Xenopus tropicalis: one gene and its partner. Each later gene encodes a partner of the first gene's protein in a complex. Links are inferred from orthologs where the notes say so. Each region holds a gene or a part of one and is shown in the gene's direction. Other genes may lie near its edges. The genes, in order: kcnj4 and tax1bp3.

What was found.
Region 2: the proteins of kcnj4 (region 1) and tax1bp3 are in contact, whole or in part, in a crystal structure (PDB 3GJ9), measured with the Homo sapiens proteins. The link is inferred for Xenopus tropicalis from reciprocal best matches to the Homo sapiens genes KCNJ4 and TAX1BP3. Residues at the interface, in NP_004972.1 of Homo sapiens: Arg440, Arg441, Glu442, Ser443, Ala444, Ile445; in NP_055419.1 of Homo sapiens: Leu27, Ile28, Leu29, Gly30, Phe31, Ser32, Ile33, Gly34, Gly35, Asp38, Gln39, Gln43, Asn44, Thr58, Arg59, His90, Asp91, Arg94, Leu97, Thr98.

What each region holds. Positions count from the first base shown.
Region 1 is NC_030680.2:122,456,025-122,467,333, reverse strand, and holds the start of kcnj4 (inward rectifier potassium channel 4), read left to right. Parts: upstream 1-5,638; 5' UTR 5,639-6,313; intron 6,314-11,309. UniProt on the Homo sapiens protein: Inward rectifier potassium channels are characterized by a greater tendency to allow potassium to flow into the cell rather than out of it.
Region 2 is NC_030678.2:30,654,817-30,665,489, reverse strand, and holds part of tax1bp3 (tax1-binding protein 3), read left to right. Parts: exon of another isoform or gene 1-456; intron 457-3,934; coding exon 3,935-4,054; intron 4,055-5,493; coding exon 5,494-5,571; intron 5,572-7,364; coding exon 7,365-7,502; 3' UTR 7,503-10,673. UniProt on the Homo sapiens protein: May regulate a number of protein-protein interactions by competing for PDZ domain binding sites. Binds CTNNB1 and may thereby act as an inhibitor of the Wnt signaling pathway. Competes with LIN7A for KCNJ4 binding, and thereby promotes KCNJ4 internalization.

The sequences.
Region 1 (11,309 bases):
ATCAGTATAGATGCCACCTGGCTGGTATTTGACCGACCTAGCCAGTAAATTACCAGCTAGGGCGAGCGCCAGTATTACAAAGTCACCGCCAATGTATATCCACCCCTGCCCATTTCCCTGCCTCTTACATCACAGCTCCACTCCCAATGATGTCGTTCCCCCAACACAAAGATATTAAGGTGGCCATACACGGGCAACCTCGCCAAGCGAGGGGATCTTCACGTGTATGGGCACCTTTAGTCACAGAAAAAGGTGGCAACCCTAGGTATAGACAAGGCAACCGGATACTTGTATGAAAGGCATGTGCAGTTAGGTTGTATGGAGTTCTTTGGCCCTTGGGAACATTGATACACTGATACATTTTCATGATGTTTGTTCATGCTCAAAAAGGTGGCAACTCCAAAAAAACCCTAACAGTATATACACATTTGTAACTTTAGAAAGGAGTTCTCCTTAGTGGCTTGTAACTGGCATCCCTCCTACTTCAAGAGTTTTGTAAAAGTAAAAAAATAGTGCTCTGTCTACACTTGGTGCCCTAAAGTGCAGAAGGTGTGGGCTTATATCTGGCATATCTGAGAATAAACTCCATATGGTTTCTATATTCTCAAACTCCTTCTCTTTCTTCTCTCAGATGGAAAGCAAGCTGGCAAGCAGCCACTGAAGAGGAGGCGCGGAGCATTCAGTTGCATTTAGGGGAAAGCAACCAGACCTGAGGGAAACCTGCCAGTTGGGTTTACCCCTAATACATAGTATAGGGGCACTAAGAAAAAAAAAACTGAATGGCTCTGATTCCTAAGGTGGCCACACACATAGCAATCCCGATCTTTCATGCAAACATTGGTCGCACAAAAGATTGTTCCCACCCTCCACTTACATTCAGGGTTGAATCTTCAGCTATGGAAGTAGAAACAATAGAAATTCTACCTCCACCTGGCAATCCAGCTCTGAACTTAGATTTTGCTCGGTCGTCATTTTAACCCCGCTGATCAACGTGTCAACTGATATCCGCAGCCTTCTGCGATCTCGGTCGCCTCTTGAGCCACAATACACCCACTGAAACAAGGTTTCCTATGATATTATCGGTGCGTGTATGGCCAGATTTAGTCTACTTACTCCTTTATATATTTATATAGTATATTGCATATATTACATTTATATTTCTTCCTGTAGTTAACAAACACCTTTTTGGGCATAAGTGTGTCACCAAACAGTAAAATAATCAATAATACCAGTATATACATTTCTATCATTCGATGGCTGAGAATGAGGAATGCAATAAGCTTTTTGGCTGTGCTCTGAGAAATATATAAGTTGTAGTTAATCTGCATGAATTGATACTGGGGCAAAACAATCCTATTGGGTTTATTTAATGTTCAAAAGATTTTTAACAGACTATGGGGCTCATTTATCAAAGTACGATCGCTTCCAAATACAAAAAAATTGTACTTTTTCGTACTTTGCAACAAAAAGTGTGACAATTTGTGTGACAAAATCGTATTTGTCGCACCGAGTACAAAAGTTTCGGATTCTTTTAAGCTTCGGTATCGTGACTTTCCTTGGGCCAGGTTGGAGCTGCAGAGTGCCATTGAGCCCTATGGGAGACTTTCCTTGGGCCAGGTTGGAGCTGAAGAGTGCCATTGAGCCCTATGGGAGGCTTTCCTTGGGCCGGGTTAGAGCTGCAGAGTGCCATTGAGTCCTATGGGAGACTTTCCTTGGGCCAGGTTGGAGCTGCAGAGTGCCATTGAGTCCTATGGGAGGCTTCAAAAAACATGCACAGAAGGATCAAAGTCAAAGGTTTTCCTGCCGTTTACGAATGTTCGGATCCGAAAATTTTGTGACTTTTGGTTTGCCAATACGATATTATCGTGACTAATACGATTTTTTTGTAAGCATTTTCTTCATATTTGCGATCATCATAAATTATTGTATCTAATACAAAACCAATCTTGCATCCAATCAGCAGGTGGCACATAAGCTGTTTGAAAGTAAACACCTAGTTAGTTGCTATTGGTTAACATACTTTACCAACTGTTGTTCTTTTTATTGCATTACCTTATTGAAGTCCTATGTAGTATCATAGGCAAATATTCCCTGGTACAGTAACCAATTTTTATTACATTATAAAAGTTCACTGCTAACTGGTTGTACAAGGGATACTGTTTACATTTGTTAATACGGCACATAAACCCACATTACTTTTATCTGAAAGAAAATACAAAGTGTTATATTAATTGTTACACTTGGGAACAGACAAGGGTGCTGGTATGAAATATATGGTAATAAAATATAAAACCAGAGATAACTTTATTCTAGATCAGCTGTAAAAGCAGGGAATTTTTGGGCCAATGGTTTAATTTAATTGATGTGTGTACTTTAATAGCAGTGTTTGCTGCAAGGAATTTTAGGGCAAGGAATTTTAACCCATTGGTCACAACCCAAAAATAGCACTGTGTTTTGCCCTAAAATTTTATTGCATATTTTGCAATTGCATTAGAGATTTTGATTTTCATGTCATTTTTGTTTGCTTGTTTTTGCCTGAAAAACATTCAAGGACACATTCACTTACCAAGATGTGGTGCACAAAGTGCAATTTTATGTGCATTTGCTATGTTTCCCCCCTACAATACACCATTTTTTCTCCACAGTTCCAGCATCACTGGGGATGCAAACGACAAAAGAAATGCAATTGCGCGTGCATTTTGCCACAGATTGGGCACAGTGGCGCTGACGTGTGCACCTTATTCTTTCAGCACAAGTGTGGCATCTTTTTTTTTTTTTATAAAAATACAATATATTTTAAAATAATTATTTTGAAATGTGTGCCAGTAACTTTTTTCAGCATTATAATTTTGGCCTGTCAACTAGTTATCATTCCTCTAGTACAGCACTGGTCAACTGTTTCCAGGTAGTGGGCTAATTAGCACCTAAATGATGAAATCAAACACTAGGGAGCCATTACCAACCACTGGATGGCCACATCTGGCTCACAGGTTTCCATTCCTGCTCTAGCAGTTGCCTGTATCTATCGTGGCTCTCTGGAATCAGCCAGTGGTACAGTGGGTACCTCCCAAGTTTTGCCCAGGGGTGAGCCTTACTAGGCACTGCTCTAATTGGAAAGCTTCTTCTTACCGACATGAGGGCTGCTTAGTACTCCGCATCCTAGCGTGGCCTGGAGTCTTTTTGTATGCAGGGGAATACCCTTACGTAAATAAACCTGTGACTCATGAGAAGTAAAACTCTAATATAAAGGCAGCGTTAATCACATTTTTACAGCATCACACAATTTCTGTCTCTTGAATGCAGTCAAGTAGATTCCAGCGTGGCAGCAGGTCCATTTATACTCGCAAACACAAGTGACTGGAAGTACCAAGTAGCATGTACTTTATCAGTGCTACCTGTCCTTACTGAACAAACTGAACTGAAAAGTTTTTTCTTTTGTATTTCAATAGTTCCCCTCTATAATACAATATGCTTGGAAAGACTAGGGAATTGTGGGTGATTTTTCAGGACTATTAATCTAGATACTTTTCAACCCTCCAACCCAGATTGTAATGGATCCCTCCGATAAGAAGAGCCGTGTAACCAGGTTTTTTGTACATGCCTTTCATTCTGTTGGAAGAGCAAACAGAAGTCTGAGCCATTTACCTAAACTATTTTTGGAAAGTCTCCTAGCAACATCTGATATAACTGTCTTGGGTTCTTTTTTACATAATCGGATGGGTCTTCTATTATCATCAGTCTGATCTACATGTGGGAGGTAATTTATCCTAATTGCGTTCCTGTGTTATGTCTTATCAGGTTGTACATAGTAATATGCCCCAAAAACTAGCACACTTGTAGTGAGATCAATGCTTAACATGCTCAAAAAAGGATAACTTTTATTAAAGGTAAACCTATTTTAAAATGCTTCTTCACACCAGTGATTTTGTGGATGCCTCTTGGTTAAACAATGGCCTGGATAGGTGAGTATGACTTACAGGCATTGGGACACTAAATCCTTGTGTGGTGGACATGGGTGTGGGAAAACTGTAAGCACAACTTGCTAAGGTGTTACTGAAATTCTGACTGGGCCAATACAGGAATTTTATTATAAGTTGGGGTTTTTATGAACTGAATTATTAGCTTCTGCAATATGGAGCTTTATAATACAGCATCCATAGCAAGCCCAGAGGTAAAATCTATTAGGACTATGACACAGAATAAGGACAATGACACATGGTGCTTCTTGTTGTGGCTACAAAATGCCAGAATACGCTGCCATAGAGAATACTATACTGGCTACAAGTAGCTTCATGTGTGATTGCCCCTATTCTGAAAAGCCAACTGCATGTTTTCAGACACTACTACAAACTAAATATCCTTTACTTCCGGGAACTTTTTACAAATTCAAAAAGTCAAAATGTGAGGTTTTTATATAATACAACATCCCATGCGCCTGACTTTTGACAGTAAAATCCCTTGTTGGAAAACAGATTCCAGCTCCCTGTGGCTTTGGATACCATAAATAAATATTGGGTTGATTAAGTTCACTCACCACGACTGATGGATTTGTTTGGGTGCTGGAGTCCCAAAGCCCAAGGTTAAGGGAGCAGCAAGAAATGAAGAAATCTATTAGCATCAGCAGAGAGGCAGGCATTAGTTCTCATAGACTGTGTCTGATGCGTATTTTACAAGTACATTTGCTATCCATGATGGGGAAGTTAATCACTTTTCTTCTATACTATTGTTCTTTTTTTCCATAAAGATTTTATTTAAATGCAAATTAACACCACAAAGACTGCCAAAAAGGAGAAAAAGTAAAGAGCTACAAATATTTCTGTAAGGAAACAGAATTTGGAATAGTGGAAAAAAAGGGTGAAAAGGAAAATAAAAAGAAGTCCTACCTCCCACTATCCCTTTTAGGGAAAGGAATTATTTTAGAAAGTCCAGCACTTTGTGTCAGGGTTGTCAGTGTGGAGACTCCCCTCAGGTGGAAGATGCTAAACACAGTCCCCTAATTCCACAGCGCAGCTTCTTGCAATATTGTGTCATTTCTGAGAGGGGAAGCATGAAAGTAAGTGATTAAAGCATTACTGATTAGCTACCACCAGAAACAAAGCAAGAGGGCACCCTAGATTTTTGCAAGTAGGGTGACCGACCTCCTTAAAGCTGTGTAACAGGTGAAGAAAACATAGCCCAGAAGAACTGAAGAAGCTGCTCGGATGAGTAGTGAAACATCTTCAATGATTACTTAACAAGTCCAGTTGCTTTAAATTTATTTATACTAGATAGCCCAGAAGATGGTTTTAGAGATAGATTTCAATGTAGATGCTAGGCTTGGAGACCATTGTTTGCCATGGAGAGCATCTCTTTAGCAAATATCACTTAATATCACACCAATGGCAATTCCTAAAATGTAAAAGTTGAAATAGCCAACACTGAGCCAACTAGAGAGAAGTGATATAAAATGATATAATCATTATTATTACAGGAAATTATACCAACAGCAAGCAGGCTCTTTTAAACAAAATGTTTAGTAGAACCTTCAGAACCTGACATTGCTCAGGTGTATACAGAGATATAGGGGGACATCTGAGATACTGAGCCCTTACACTTCTATTCCCCTCTCTCTGTTCCCTGGGATGCAGTGTGAATACACACTGAGATCACATGTAGAGGGGAGATCATCCAGCCCAGCGTTGTCAGATTCCTGTGCACAATCACAAACTGCTCAGATGCAGAGAGAGAGAGTGGGGCAGAGAGCAGAACAGATCGAGGGAGAGATGCAGGGAGTGGGAAACTGAGGTAAAGGAAAGCGTTTGGAGAGGGGGCAAAAGAGAAGACAGAAAGAAGAAGAAACAGAAAAATAGCAAGCGTATGGTAAGAGCAGAGAGAAAAGAATAATTGCCAGGGAAATAGAAAGACAATGAAGCCAGATGGACATACTGTGAAAAGAACAAAGGGACAATTATAAAGAGTCAGGAGAACCAATCGAAAGACAGTGAATAGAATGGTTTGGGATATAGAGAATATTTGCAGGGGTCTAAAATAAACTGTGGCCATTTGAGTGGAGAAGTGTAAGTATCAGCTTGTGAAAGTGCGGGCAAGTGGAGACCAGGCTGAGGTCAGAGTCAGTGAGGAACCTGTAAGGAGATAAAATGAGATTTGCAGCACATGGTGGCAGCCTGAGCCGAGGCACCAGCAGCAGCACGCCGGGCAAAGTTAGTAAAGAGGGAGCCAAAGTCTGAAGAAGAGAGAGATTATAAGGAGACTGGAGCAGCCCTCTTAGTGCCCAGAATTCATTTTTCTTAGGGCATCGCCAACCAACAAGCTGGTAAGAAACCTTCTTTTACCTTGGGTGGAATTATTTGTGGACTGTTCAAGTACCAATCTTACTAATAACTATGGAGGGAGGGGGGTTAAAGGTTTGCTGAGAAATGTGAAGGCTCGGAAAGGTAACTGTTTATAGTAAAACTGCTACTGTTTTATACTGAGGTGCATACAGCAGCTAATGGAATGACAATTCTTTTTGTACATCTTGGGGCTATACTGTTGCAATTAAATACAACCCCCAACCCCTCGCCCTGCGCAGCAGGATAGACTGAACAACAGAGATGTTGTTAATATGAATTACTAGCCAAGAATGGGTTTACATGTTCATATTTACACATTCGCAAAGCAAGACAGTGTCAGTATTGCACAATCTTTACTTGCATAACTGTATCTCTCCCATCTCTTTTCCTCCGCTGGATCCATAGAGCAATCTGCCTACAAACGATTCACAGACAATACTGATATGCAAACTTACTGTGTAATAATTACACAGATTTCGTAGTATCATAAAGAAACAGGTAGAAAGGTACTAATTATATTTCCTTCAAATAGTTATTTTTATACCATGTGGGTAGGCGTGCAATGCCAACTATACACTCTGCTGCACTAGTTACAGCACATTCTAACTCTATTAGCTGCCAGGATCCATATAAATCCATATAGTTAATGGACAGTAGCCCTTATTCTTGCTTGCTAACTATTATTATTTATTTATTTATTTATTTATTTGTTAAAGCTTTGGCAGTGATTTTTTTTTCTTTTGGCTGGTTTTCATAATGAAACAGTGTGGCATTCAATAATGGTGTCATTTCTAGAATCTGCCCCTGGACTTTATGCCTAATAAATAAACAATGATATAAAAGAGAGTGCAGGAAGGTTGTGCTTCCCTGGACTCTCTATTGTAATTATTACATGGTAACGGGGAACACAAGAACCCTTGCCATTACATAACACAGTTACTGACTAACTACAGCTTCACATGTTTAGGGTGTTTTTGGACTTCCGCTATGAGATCCAACATTTGGTGAACATGTTTATATAAGGATATAGTTCCCAATATACCCAATATACAAGATTTGAAATATGCATTTTACCCAAAAAACATGCCCCTACTGGCCTTGAGATTGGGTCCCCACCAGCCAACACTTTGGGCAGTCCCACAGTTGGGGAACCACTGTTTTAGAAATGGAACATCCTTTTCTCACTGCTGCTTTCAGGCACAACTGGAGGCAGGTAGGTTAAACCAAACTATGCCTTCTATGACATGGCTGTTTAACCTGCAGACTTCTAGTTATAGTTGTACTACAACTCCCTGCATTGGGGGAAGCTGGGAGCTGTAATTAATGCACAGATACAGGACTAAAGAACAGGCAGTCTTGTAAATCTACATTCTATGAATGTCTTTAAGAGGGGCTTGATGTTTTCTTGAACAAGCATAATATCCAAGGCTATCACCATACTAAAATGTACAATTAGTATAGATATTGGGATATATAGTTTACATATGTAAGAGTATAGATAGGTCAGTATAAGTCTATATATGTGCACTGGAGGAGGGGCTGAATTTAATGGACTTTTTTCAAACCAACTTAACTATGTAAATCTAATGATAAATGGGAGTATTTTTAACAGCACAAGAAAGTTTCCAGTTATGAAATATCAGGATGTAGGAGGAATAAGCAAGAGAAGATATCATACAGCAATAGAAAGTGTCATTTGTATCTGACTGCATTACAATTGCTAAAGGCTGAATGCTTATTTCAGCCTCCCCTCCGTGAACTTCCTGCGCTCAAGGGGTTAAGCTAAATACCAAGGCACACAAAAGCAACCCATCTCTCATATATTTCCATAGAAACATAAAAAAAAGCCCTGACAGATGAGAGAGAATTTTCACACCCAGCCTGTCCATTTAGCAAAGGGTGTAAAACCCCTAGAATTGCAGAACCTTAACCTTCTCATTAACATTCTGCATTAATCTTTTCTCTGGCTTATGTAACATATTGGCTCTCGTGCTCTTCACCATCTCTGTCGGTTGGCTCTGCTCTGTGTTGGTCTCTCTTCTTTAAAGTACTATATATGCTCATGCCATCTCTCATCTCTGCTTCATATTAAAGATACACTTCTAATCTGAATTTATTCTGTACTCTATCTTTGTAAAATATAAATCCATTTGAGTACACTTTTCTGGATCCATGGATCCACTTCCTTCAAGGTACAGGCCAGGTGAACTGGGGTTAATTTTAGCATAAATCTATAAATAGTCGTTTAGAATAACTTGGCCAAGACACTGGCACTCTCTGCCCCTTAAAGAGTATTATGCTTATAAGTGGGATAAACTAAAAAAAAATTCTCAATATCTGAATCAATATATACTACTTATAAGCAGGATACATATATTTATATATATACACACATACACACACGCACACATATATATAGACTCTGTTTTCTCCCATCAAGGGCATTCACACCAGTGCAATAGTGGTTATATATAACACCTGTGTTTGCTACAGGTATGTGTGGTGTATATATATAGCAAAGCATGGCAACTCTCTCACAGTTGCATATTTATTAAAGGGTGGAAGAATTGCTCACTAGAGTTTGCCTGAAGGAAATTTCAGATTTATAAGGGCACATATTTATATAAGGCTAAAAATGAGTACACCTTATTTTCATCCTTGGATAAATATGCCCCTGACCATCCCATACATGACAATTGAGGGCTGTGAAATTTTCCTCCAGTGAGCTCTAGTTATATTTTCACCCTTTTTTACATATGCCCTTTAGTAATGCAATGTGCCCACTGGTGCAAACATTTACACAGTATGTGCTCCATTCCACTCTGTATGGAGTACATGTATTGTTATAGAGAATATTGTTTAAATGCCCATACTGTATGTGGAGAAGGAACGCTGTGAGTGCAGAGCCATTTTGCACTTGTGCTTTTCTCTCCCACTGGGGCAGTAAAAGGGCTGAAAATTGCATGTACCAAAATACATATGTTTTCTTGCACCAAGCTCCAATGCATCTGGGGCACCAGTTACTGTAAGTTAATACCTGCCATTGACTAGGTAACCCAAAAATGAATTGATGTAAACTTAAGGTGGCCATAGACGGGCGGATTTTAGCTGCAGATTAGGTGCCTTTATACCAATGCGGCAGTTCTTGAATAACATCTGTACATCACACTGTTTTAAATAGTAAAAAAAGAAGCAGCAATAACAGTTGATATTAGGATTAGTGCAAATCATTGTTTTTTTATTAATTGTGATGCTGTGTTATTTTCCCTGAATATTGGCTTAATAGCAGGAATACATTAACTTAAAAAGGTCATACATGGATGGATTTAAGTTGCCGATTCGGCCCCTTCAGACCAACTTAGCAGCCTATTTGCCCATGTATGGGGCCCTCCAACAGGCCTGCTTGATCAATATCTGGCTAAAAATAAGGCAGATGTTGATTGGGCAGGTTTATATTTCCCATGAGATCAAGGACTGGATCAGCTTGTTGATGTGGTCCTCACCCCAATGACCTGTATCCCTGTTTGGCCCTAGGGCTAAAAAATCAGATTAGGCCAATATCACCCACCTTTGGTGTACATCAGGCAAGAGCCGCCTCAGGGGTCCTAGCCACCTGAGGTGGCCAAGTTGATGCCATTCCCTTGGCTACTGCTGCATATAGCTTTTTGCATCAGAGGGGGTGAGGGGCACATCGCTAGAGCCCTATTGCGCTCTCTGCACTAGAAGAGCCAAATTTGCGATTTAAAAAGTTACCAGGACTGGCTTTTTTTCTTAACTCACTTCATAGCTGCAGCGCCTCTCATATCAGGGAAAAATCTTCTCATTTGGTGAAACAGACGGGCCAGTTTACTCAGGGTGCTTCTCTGAGCACTTTTGTAATTTACATTCATTTTCTATTTTAAGGGTTTCTGAGATATCTGCGTGTTTACACTGCTAATACCTGGCTCCAACCATTCTGCAAATGTGTTGTTACATGTCATGTAAGCTTGTAAGTAGTTTTTGCAGACTTTTTATACTGTTGTTTAGCGGTAAACCCTATTGTTGGCTACAGAGGGCTTAGCATGACTGCTCTGCAGACTTGAAACCCTTTAATGCTGTTTCATAATCCTTATGGTTTGGCAATAGTATAATATGGAAAGCCTTATAGCCTCTTTAAGAAATACCTAGGGAACATTACCCTTGTTTAATCCGTGTGATACAAACTGAAGCAGACCCAGTGAGGATCATAGGGCTGCAGAGGGATATTACAGAAACACAGAGGGGCAACAGTAGAAGGTGTTATGTTTGCTACTGGTCTAGTAACCCATATATTTATTGGCCACCTTTTCAAAAACAAACATCTGATCTACCAATTTACTTGATCTGGGCAAAAAGGATCAGTAAAACCAAACACTAAAAATAAATAAACAAACCAGGGAAAGTAAGAGAAGAAATAGGCAAAGAAGCAGCAATATCTGAAAAAGAGAATAATACAATGCGAAAATGGTAAAAGTGGCACAATCATGTAAATGAAGAAAAAAAAGCAAAGGGAGACCCGCAGGCAAAGTATGTAACAGATGGGAACTGGCTATTGGGATACAGGAGTGAAAACTCACACAGAATTATGCCCTAAGGCATGAGAGACACATTTGGTACCTTTGACATGGTCACCATTGGTAGCTGTAGAGCCAAGTAGTGACAGCTTTTAGCTAAACTACATGCCCCATTTAACTATTTATAATGCTCACATGTAGTTATAAAGTTTTCACTCATCACTCCCAGTTATATTACAAATGTGGCACCAACTACAGTTGATATTAGGGTTAGCACAAATCATTGTGTGTTTTTTTAATTGTGATGCCATGTTATTTTCCCAGAATATCACCTTAATAGCAGGAATCAATTAAATAGTGTGCTGGGCATGATTTACTGTAATACTGCACTGGAAACTAGTGTTAACAAAATCACAAGTTGTTTTACAAATTTTTAATGTCAAAT
Region 2 (10,673 bases), on another chromosome or scaffold:
CTACTGTAAGGAGAATATCCCCCTGTTTTCCTTCCCCGCTATATGAGGAGCGCTGGCATATGGTAGGACATAAGCACTTTTAGGCACTGGTGGATGCCTAACAATTTTCCACTCCCCATTTATTTTTCTATTTGCTTGCCCTTTAAGGGTGGTTTCATTTCATTTAAGGGTGGTTTCTCAATGCTTTTCTGATGGTACTCCAAAGCAGACTGGCAATCTGGAGATTCTGGCAAATGCCAGAGCGGCAGCTATAGGATGCCATATTATTATTTAATTATGTTTGGGCTTCTGTGTTCTTGAAATGCCAGGGCATATTTTGACTTTTTCTCACTCCCAGTTAACCTCCCTTTTATAATGAATTCCTCTATCAATTCATTTTCATGTCTCTTGTTTAACCTACTGCTTGGTTGCTAGGATAAATAAACCCCTAGCAACCAGATAACTGCTCCAATACCAAACTGGAGAGCTGTTATAAAGCTAAATTACTGGAAAACTATAAAAAATAAAAATTAAGACAAATTGCAAACTGTCTCAGAATATCAATTTCTACATCATATTTAAAGTTAATTTTAAGGTGAACTACCTGTACCCATTTAACAACGATGGCTTTATGAGTTTTAGCAGGCTTGCAAAGGTGGTTAATTTATAGTTTTGCAACATTAGAATTAGAATATAGAAATAAAAGTGATAGCATTTACAGGTGCACTTGATTTTCATAGCCTGAATCAAAGTAAATAATTGAATATTCAATAAATGTATCTCCTGGAGGTATAAACTGAATCATCAGCCCGGTACAAATGAAAGCTAACAGTATGCATTATCATACGTGTGTATGTATTTACGCTGGTAATATTCCCTGGGCGTGTAGAAGAGTTATCCGGTACCGAGCCTCATCATCCTCTTAAATACAGCCAGTTTGATATCAGAGTTCCCATCTGTGGGGCCCGGGGCAGACACTTTAACCTCTGCATAGTGAGGCCTTTGTGAGCAGACTAAATGCAGTTGGTAACTGCAAGGCTTTTATTAGGGGAAGGAATTCCCCTGCAGGCATTAGATGTAGGCCTGGATACAGCGGAGCCAGTTACCTTTGTGCTTTGTCTTGTCGTCCCAGTGAGGGTTTCCGACTTTGCAGGGCTGTTTCAATAATTGGGCCAAAGGGGCATTTGCCCAGGACCCATCAGGACAGGGGGCCCACTAGCACACTTTTCATCTGGGCTTACTTTTGGCAGAAGCATCCTACATTTTACTGTACATCCCTACAGTATGGTTATTTATATTATTTTTGCCTTTTTTCTTGTGGCATTTCCATTTATCATTTTTCTACTCCCATGGCTGTGGCACACCATCTCTACTTCAGTAAGTACAAACAAGCAGTAGGGACCTACCAGTGAAATATTGCCCAAGGCCTGCTGGTACCTCAAAGTGTCCCTGATCCCTCATTTAGCAACACTGGGCGAATATGCACTTGGGCAGTAGCCAATAGAATCCAGTCAGTGATTAGCATTTGTCAGCCAACTGCAGGTAGAACAGTGAAATTAAAAAAGATATCTTTTCTTTGCTGTGGGTTACTGCCCAGGTGCAAATTTGATTTTTAATAATAGAGCCTAATGATAGGGGTAAAATATCCTGAGGCCTTGGGCTTGTAATTACAGTATTTTCAGCTCTGCAGCTATACAGCCCGTCATTAGCCTTTGTGTATATAGGTACCTTAAGGTCACAAAGGCCAAGCAAAACATTAATTAAATGTATATCCTTATGGCACCTCTTAAGGGCAATTTGCAATTTTTAAAAAATCAATTATATTAAAGTCGGTTGCAATTTTTACTACCTGAATAGATCACTTAACTAAAAACAAAAAATCTGTTAGCTGACATTATAAATAGAGCAGCGTGTCTTACATAAACATGACAGAGCTGGTGGGGTCAGGTGTATCTGTGCTACAAGTTGCATTCTTCGTCTTTGCAAACTATTTGCACCAAATCAGTGCCATAGCACGGGCACGCTTGTACCAGCATGTCTGCGTGACTCATATAAGGCAGGTCAGAGGTCCCTGGTGTGTTACTTTTCCTAGTATGTTTGTCTAAGGGTTACACCCTGTTAGATACACCTTTTATCTACTGGGGAAGGCTGGCATTGAGGCAGAAATGCTGTCCTCCAAGGGCTCATTATCTACACGGAGACCTTGGCCTGTATTAAGCCTGTGAGCTTCCAGTTGGAGAGAAGTGATTTTTGTACTTTAAGCTCCGTTTTGACCATTACTTCTATTGGAACTACTGCAAGTGAATGTCATGACAGTGTCTTTATTTATATAGCTGTAACCTTCCTAAAGAGGGTCTGACCAAATGCTGGATATCCTGGCCATGGAATACAACTCTATAGTCACGTTATCATTCCTTCTTCAGTGCTTGCGAGGGTCAAAGTCAGGCTTATGGAAGATCAAGTACAGAGAACTTGTTCTCTTTTATTCAGTGGTTTTATTTGCTTTGCTACCATTCTCCATAGGTTCCAAAGGGCTGGAGCCACCAGTTTCTTCCCCATTCTGCAATATTGTCCCAACAGCCAGCCTGCTGCTACCAGTGGGTTTTCAAAAGCCCACACAATGCAGTCTTATTTTATCTTTAGATCTGCTGTCTTGGATTAAAAACAAATAAATTATGGACACGTTGCATCACAATTCTGGGTGCTGGCTGGACTTTTAATTACCATTGTGTTGGGCACAGTAGGGATATTTTGTATTTCTTAGGTTGAAGACACACAGAGCTACTAGTAGTGGCTACTTATAGTGGCTACTAAAATAGACAATGCTGATCATTTACTGATAACTGTCTCTACGTGTGTTTTAGCAGAGGCAATTCTCAGTATTGTCTATGGCAGGGTATATTCTGGAGTTTAGTAGCTGTGAAAAGTAGCTGCTGCTAAGTAGCTCTGTGTGTCTTCACCCTAAGAAATTGTATTGGCTGCTGAAAAAATGTATATCTGCATTGGATACATTTGGCTCTGTCTCTTCAGCAGTGTTGTTATAGAATAGAGTAGAATATGTTCTTATAGAAATGTGGCCCCCTTCTGACAGAGACGGCTTAGATACAGGAGGAATGCGTGACAGTCCTAGCTGAAGGCCAAGCGATAGAGACGTATCTAAGTTTCTGTTGGGGTGAGCCAGATCCTGAGATGTTTAACCAATGAGTCATGGCTGTTTGGCATATGGTGCATAGAAACACATATCTGGGTAACTCTCCAAAACGGCAGTAGGCCAAGCTGCCTTCCACAAACCCCTGCATATTCTGTTTCGTGCTGTTTTCAAATTAGCAGTTATTTTATCAATTACCTATGAACACATTCTTTTCTCAGGGCCGGGTCCAAGGTAATACACCATTTTTTTGGGGGGGGGGGGGGCGGGGATCCATGAAGTTATACTTTAAAAATAAACAAAGGCCAACATATTAGGAAACAGTGATATCATGTTTTACTCTCACCATTTTGCCCTATTATACCTGTTATCACTCATCCCATATCAAGTACAGCTGCTCTGAGAGCGGTTCAGCAATCATTGTGAATGCCAGGGGCCCAAGCTCCAATTTTACCAATCTCTGTTGTAAGTCATAAGGAACTGCAGGGGTTGCTAAGTGACCCCTGATACAGGGTGGTGGTGGTAGGTGAGATTCACAACATGGGGCTGCAAATGCACAACACAATGTATTTTCGAGGACAAGATGGTGCTAAGAATTACATTGGCCCAGTGGTTGAAGGTCCTTTCTTTGGCCAGGACATTGTCAAGCAGTTCATTCAGCTCTGGTTTCAAGAACAGCAAATAAGAAATTACACTGAATGGAACTGTTACTGATATTCAGACTGGGTTTATGGGATGGCTAATAACCAGAAGGGTTAAACCTCAGTCCTTGATTTGGAACTAATTTCCATTCCTTTTTTTCTGTAGCAACGGGTTGAAATCTATAAATTGCACCAAGGGGATAATCTGATCCTTGGCTTCAGCATTGGAGGAGGAATCGACCAGGACCCGGCACAAAACCCTTTCTCCGAGGACAAGACAGACAAGGTTGGAACTTCTTGTGATTGCGCATTGATACTTGAGTGAGATAGCTCAGCATGTAATGACAGTTGCAAAGATTACTATGGCTTATATGAGTGCTTTACATTTGCCAGGAGAGAAAATGCATACACAGCTTGCTATCACCTTGTGTGGTATGTAGGCAATGAAAGGAATCTACACACAGGCTGGATTTTGGCCAGAAAATGGACACTTTCAGGCTGAAATGTGTGCAGTGACAGGCAGACATTATTCCTGTCACACATGGGTCTGCATGGGGCAGTTTTAGTGTTTAGAGAAACCACTACGTGCAGCTAGAGATGGCAGGGGGCTGTAGATTGAAGCCATGACATGTGTTTTCCATGTATCTGCGATTCCCTGGGCCACTAGGGAGACCACTCCCCCACCCTCCTTATTGCTTTGGAATGGGGGTAAGACAGATAACCTGCTGTAAAAGCTGGCAATCTGCCCCTGGAAGTGCTTCAGGTCATAAAATCTACGATCTGTGGCTCTTCCTTTTATACACACATCATAGACTGTGGCACTACAAATAATGACGTTATGGCATTACTGTTGCTTAAAGTATGGATCTTTTGTGGCTAATTTAGTATCAAAGGTGCTAATGTAAGTGTGGTTACTGCTAGCAGCCAATCTTTGCTAACGTTTAGTAGACTGATCAAAAGTGTTTGCTGATTGGAAGCTATTGGTACCTGCAATAGTGCAATTTAGCACCTGTGCTTATAAAAGAGCTACTCTATGGACATATTTAATAAAGATCTTTTAAACAACAAAAGTGTAGAATAAATGTTAGACAAGGAAAGGCTAAGTCACTTGGGGGGGGGCAAAATGTTAGGCACCCCCAAGTGACTTAAATCGCTTACCTTGTACCCTGGGCTGGTGCCCCTGTTAGGAGAAAACCGCACCAGCCCGGGGTACTTGCAGCGAGCGCTTCCTTCTGTGTCAAAATCCCTGCGCCAGCGCATGTGCAGTAGAGTGAAAAGCTGAAAGGAAGAGGAGACCACACTCGCTGCTACCCCGGGCTGGTGCTGTTTTCTCCTAACAGGGGCACCAGCCCGGGGTACAAGGTAAGCGATTAAAGTCGCTTGGGGGTGTCTAACATTTTGGCACCCCCAAGTGACTTAGCCTTAACTTCTCCTTTAAGTGTGAATTAATGCCATGCAATGATTGATGAAATAGTCCTTACTAACTATACTTGAGCTTTAAAAAACTTTTTTATATTCACCTGTAAATTTGCATCTAATCAATACACAGCTTTCTAGGATTCTACATGGTGTCCATGGCATACTGTGGCATTAAAGTGCCCGGTGGATATGTAGGGGTTCAATGCTGTTTTTCTTTACATGCCTTTATAAATAAGTCCCAGTCTGTAAAAGCTTTTCAACTTTAACTACTGAATTAGCAGTAAGAATATAACTTGATGCTTTCAGGGTATCTATGTGACACGAGTAACAGAGGGAGGCCCTGCGGAGGTGGCTGGACTTCAAATTGGAGACAAAATAATGCAGGTAAATAGCTGATCACTACCTGACAATCCACTGACCATTGCATAAGCCCTAATGTCCTTATATCTGCAACTAATCACAATGCTGTCCGTGGGGGGTGGGTATTCCTGGGCTTTTTCCCAATTGACAAAGGGGTAGTTCACTTTTTAGTTAGTATGTTGTAGAATGGTTAGTTCTTAGCAACATTTCATTTGGTCATCATTTTTTATTTTTTAGCATTATTAAATTATTTGCATTTCTATACTGCCACTTTCCAGGTTTCAAAGGGTTGGTGGCTGACCCCAGCAGCCAAAAAAAACCATTGTTATTTGAGACTACAATTTTGTTTTTATTGTTACTTTTTTCTCTTTCTATTCAAACTCACTTCTATCCATATTCCAGTTTCTCATTTGAACAACTGCCTGGTTGCTAAGATAAAGAAGACCCTAGCAGCCAGATAGCTGTTAAAATTCCAAACTGGAGAGCTGCTGAATAATTCAGAAACCATTCTGAATTGACAAAACCAGTTGGATGACTGGCCAAACGTCTTCAAGAAAAACACAGCAAGTCCAGTTAATTTGACTTATTAATACAAACATACCATGACCTGGATGAATGAGAATCTTCACAAAAAAACACAAGCAAAAAAATGAAGACCAATCGCAGATTGTTTCAGAATAGAATTCTCTACATCATGCTATAAGTTAATGTAAAGGTGAACAATCCCTTTAAAGCTATGGTTAATCTGCTACATGTTGCCATACTGAGAGCGGGTCAAGTTCTTCCACTCCCATCTCAGCAAACCTATGGTGTATTGACTTATCTTAGTGCATGGGAGATTACTGTGCTAAAACAGGAAAGTAACTTCAATTAAATTGGGGCCACAAAGTAGGAAGCATGACACTGAATTTAATTCTACACTGCAGCCGTAAGGTTTACTCAGTGTAACCAGGGGCCCAAACCTTGGAAACAGGCCCAGACCATTATTTCTGCTCCACCAAGCTTTACAGGGGGCATTATGCATTCAGGCAGTTAGTGTTCTCCTGGCATCTGCCAAACCCATCCTTTTTCTTCTGACATCCAGATGCTGAAATGCCATTTATCTCTCTAGAGTAGTGGTGTTCAACTGGTAGCCTGTGTGCCCCCCCCCCACCTGTCTGGCTGCTGATACCATTGTTCAAAACCCAGGCTCAGACCGTTGGCGCTCACATTGTTCACCTGTTCACACCTCAGACTGTGCCAGCATTGTGTCCTGTATGTAGAGCAGTACAAACTGTTCATCTTGGAGTTTCAGTTTCTTGTATAGTCATAATAGGTTTTCCTGTCTCCTTCCCTACTCTGCCTTCCCTGCTCTACCCTGCCTGTGTGTGCCATACTCTTCCTGCCTTATGCTGCCTGTGTGTGCCATACTCTTCCTGCCTTATGCTGCATGTGTGTGCCATACTCTGCCTGCCCTATGCTTCCTGTGTGTGCCATACTCTGCCTGCCCTACCCTGCCTGTGTGTGCCATACTCTGCCTGCCCTACCCTGCCTGTGTGTGCCATACTCTACCTGCCCTATGCTGCCTGTGTGTGCCATACTCTGCCTGCCCTATGCTGCCTGTGTGTGCCATACTCTGCCTGCCCTATGCTGCCTGTGTGTTCCATACTCTGCCTGTCCTACCCTGCCTGTGTGTGTGCGCCATACTCTATGTGTTAAAAAATGTTAGCAGTAGTAACGTTAGAGTAGTAATGTTAGCCTCTCACCTATTTTGGACAGAGTTTCGTATACAACCATGCAGTTTATTTAATCGTTTATTATTTGTCGGTGTGTTTCAGGTAAATGGATGGGACATGACAATGGTAACGCACGACCAGGCAAGGAAACGCCTCACCAAGAAAAATGAGGAGGTTGTCCGGCTGCTTGTGACCAGAAAATCCTTGCAAGAGGCTGTGAGACAGTCCATGAGACCCTAAGCATCACATTCCCGAGAGTCTGAATCTCTTAGCTACACAGGTGTACTTACCCGGACACATTTCAGTTCTGTATTACACACACCAGCAGCACATTGCAGGGCTATAGGTTGCTGGCTCCTTTCTGTCCCTCCCAGGCTACTGCTTGTTCCGCACCAAAACAAACCAAAAAGAATTCTAATGTGCCTGGCTCCCATTGGCCTAAATTCTGCCCGTCTTTATCCTTGCAAATGAAAGAGCAATTTCTTACTGCCCCAGTAGAAAAGCACACATCTTTCCACTGCAAAGATAAAGCAGGTAGGTATCTCCTATGCGATTCCCAGTTCACTTTTTTAATACTTTCAGGTGTTAAGTTGCTTCTATTGGAGCAACCACAAATATGGGGACTTTATTTTACAAAATTCAACATGTAAACAGAGGTCCCTGTATCACTGGTTTATACACAGATTTGTACTTGCAGAGCAAATAGTCTCTTCTAGGAGGGGAAGTAGAGTTTGTACTGAGTCATCCTCGCCTTTCAGCATTTATCACAAGGGCTGCCATCAGCAGTCTCTGGGTACAGCCTGGGTCACTGCCTCTAATTACCGTCAGGGTCAATCAGCTGAATCAATAAATGCTTAATCTAGGCAAAATTTGTAGGTGTAAGCGCTCTTATCAATTTGACTTTTTTCATGATATTACCAGTTACTACACTGCTGATGTGAATGTGTAACAGGAGTGCCCCCTGTTTTTGGGCCCAGGTAAGGGCCAGACGAATGGCAAAAGATTAATTTACAGAAGCAGAAAGCCTCCTGTCGCTTCTCTGCTCAGTTTTATTCTTACCCTCTTGGCACATTACAAGAGACAACTGGACAAGAACCCTACCCTGAGCCCAATCAACAGGGGACACTCTGATATTAGCAGTGTTAAAACTGCCAATGTCGTCAAATCTAAAACAAAATTTACCTATAAATTGCAAAAGTGCTCAGAAGAGCATTCTGGACAATTTTACATTGTTCCATTTAGGGTATGTGTCTCTTTGAGGGGCTTCAAGACCTAGTGCTGTCAGAGGTTACTGACTTTGGCGCCCAACTGGCCAAGGTTTAATAGGAGAATCCAGGAAATAGATTGCCCAGGGAATATACTGCTTTGTTACTGGTGTTACTACAGCACAGACAATCAGACAAGTTCCCCTGTCCCCTTTTATCTATATCTCTAGCAATTCATATGCAGTCCCACTGCCACCAGCAACTGACTGGCCTGTACTAATTTATATAAATATATATATATGAAACCACTCCATATAGCTAGTTTAACTGTCTTGTATCATTTCCAGTTTTAACTGTACTGTATGTACTTTGCATTACTTTTCTAAATTTCTGACCAAACGATATTCCTAGGCTTGTAATAAACTGCTTTTGATTGTGGCAAGACACTCCTATATGTTTATGTTCATCAGTTGAGACTTCTCCAGTTTGGACCAGAATGAGTTAATCTTTCCCAGAAGCTGTTTTGCCTGTGTGCATTACATCAGTAAGACTGGAATCATGATTTTCCTGTACGGACGTGACTAATGTCTGTATTTGTCTAGTAAGTCAGTGGCTGCTTGAGTTCTGGTGTATGACCTGCAGCATGTTTCATTTGGACCAATGAGAATTCAGAACTGGAGAACGCTACGCTACTGGCAGGCCAAGCTTTTATAGAATTGTAACTGTGGCTGAAGCTGTCTACCCAGTCACATGGAAACATATTAGGCTGCATAATGTGAACAAATCCTTTGCCGTTTAAGTTCCACATCCTCTCATGGGGCCCCGCAGCAGTTCTTGTTTTATCACAAGTTGCAGAATGACATTGAGTGATAGTTTGTATAAAGCTTTTGTTAGAAACACTAAAGTGCCTCTTCCTACTATCGGTGCAGGGCAGGCTGTGCTACCCATTGCTGCCAGTCTTGCTAATGCCCACATGTGAGTCACAAAACAGAAATTCCAGTCCTGTTGGAGCTCAGTAGGTGCTATTGCTCATATCCTTTTTATATGGGAATATACTCTTAGGAGTCTGATTGTTTGATATGACAGGCAAGGGTGTCACTATTATTCTTGCTTGTGTGCTTTATTCCATATGGGACCCCAGTATCACAATTTGTAACTGAATTAAAGAGGAAAAAATGTTTTTAAAATAATCATTCGGGTTGATGGTAAATACCCCTTCATACAGCAATATAAAACCTTATTGTTTTTATTGCAAACAGTTTCATTAGGTGAAAGCAGCCAATAGACGTGCATGTATAGATTACCAAATAAACACTAGATGTTACATTTGATATTTTTTCAAAACCCCTATATAGGTTATAGCTATTTGTTTTTTGGGAAAAGCATGTCTGAATTACTATATCCAGCTTGAATGGGAACTGAAGCTCACCAGGAGCTTTTGCCTGCCGGCCTACTGCAGTGTGTAGGGATGGGTTCCCTGTGGGACCTTGGCCTTTAAAGCTGCACTCTAGCCCCAATGACCAAAGGAGGAAAATCGTGTAATTTAGGCTTCTGAGTGCTATGGACCCCTGAGATCCAGACTGATCCCTAACAAAGTCAGCTTCAGAGAGAGGGCTGCTTAAACCACTAAGTTGCACATTTCATTAATGTTCCTGTTTTGTATGCGTTTTGCACACGTTTGTGTTACTTTCACTACTCAAGCTGTAGGTAGTGTCCCTGCTGCTAGACGTGCACACTAATGTCCTACTTCATTTGAACCAGTGCTGGCCCCCAGCCCCAGATTCACTTGACTTGCATTTCCAGGCCACTGACAGACTTAGTTACTATTCTACATAAACCTAGGGCTTATCTGACCAAACACATGGATATGGTTGGACGTTTCAGGCCTTCTTACCTCTCGAACAACTGCATTTACTGGCTAATGTTATCTGCTTGTTCACACCTAGTCACTGGCTTGCCCTATAATCCATCAACATTGGACGGGTGGTCTGTTTGCGTATTGTTCTTGTTGCTAGGTCTACATGACCCTAGCAATCAGACAGGTTTGAATGACACATGAAAGCTTTATTGAGTGACGTGATTTAAAGTATTGGTAATCACTAATTTCTATGCCAGCAGATAAAGTGTGTGAGTTTTTACCTGACATTACAGTAGTAGATTGCAGAGATCTGTGCTTTCCTGTTTGCTTTCCCTTTGACCAATGTGC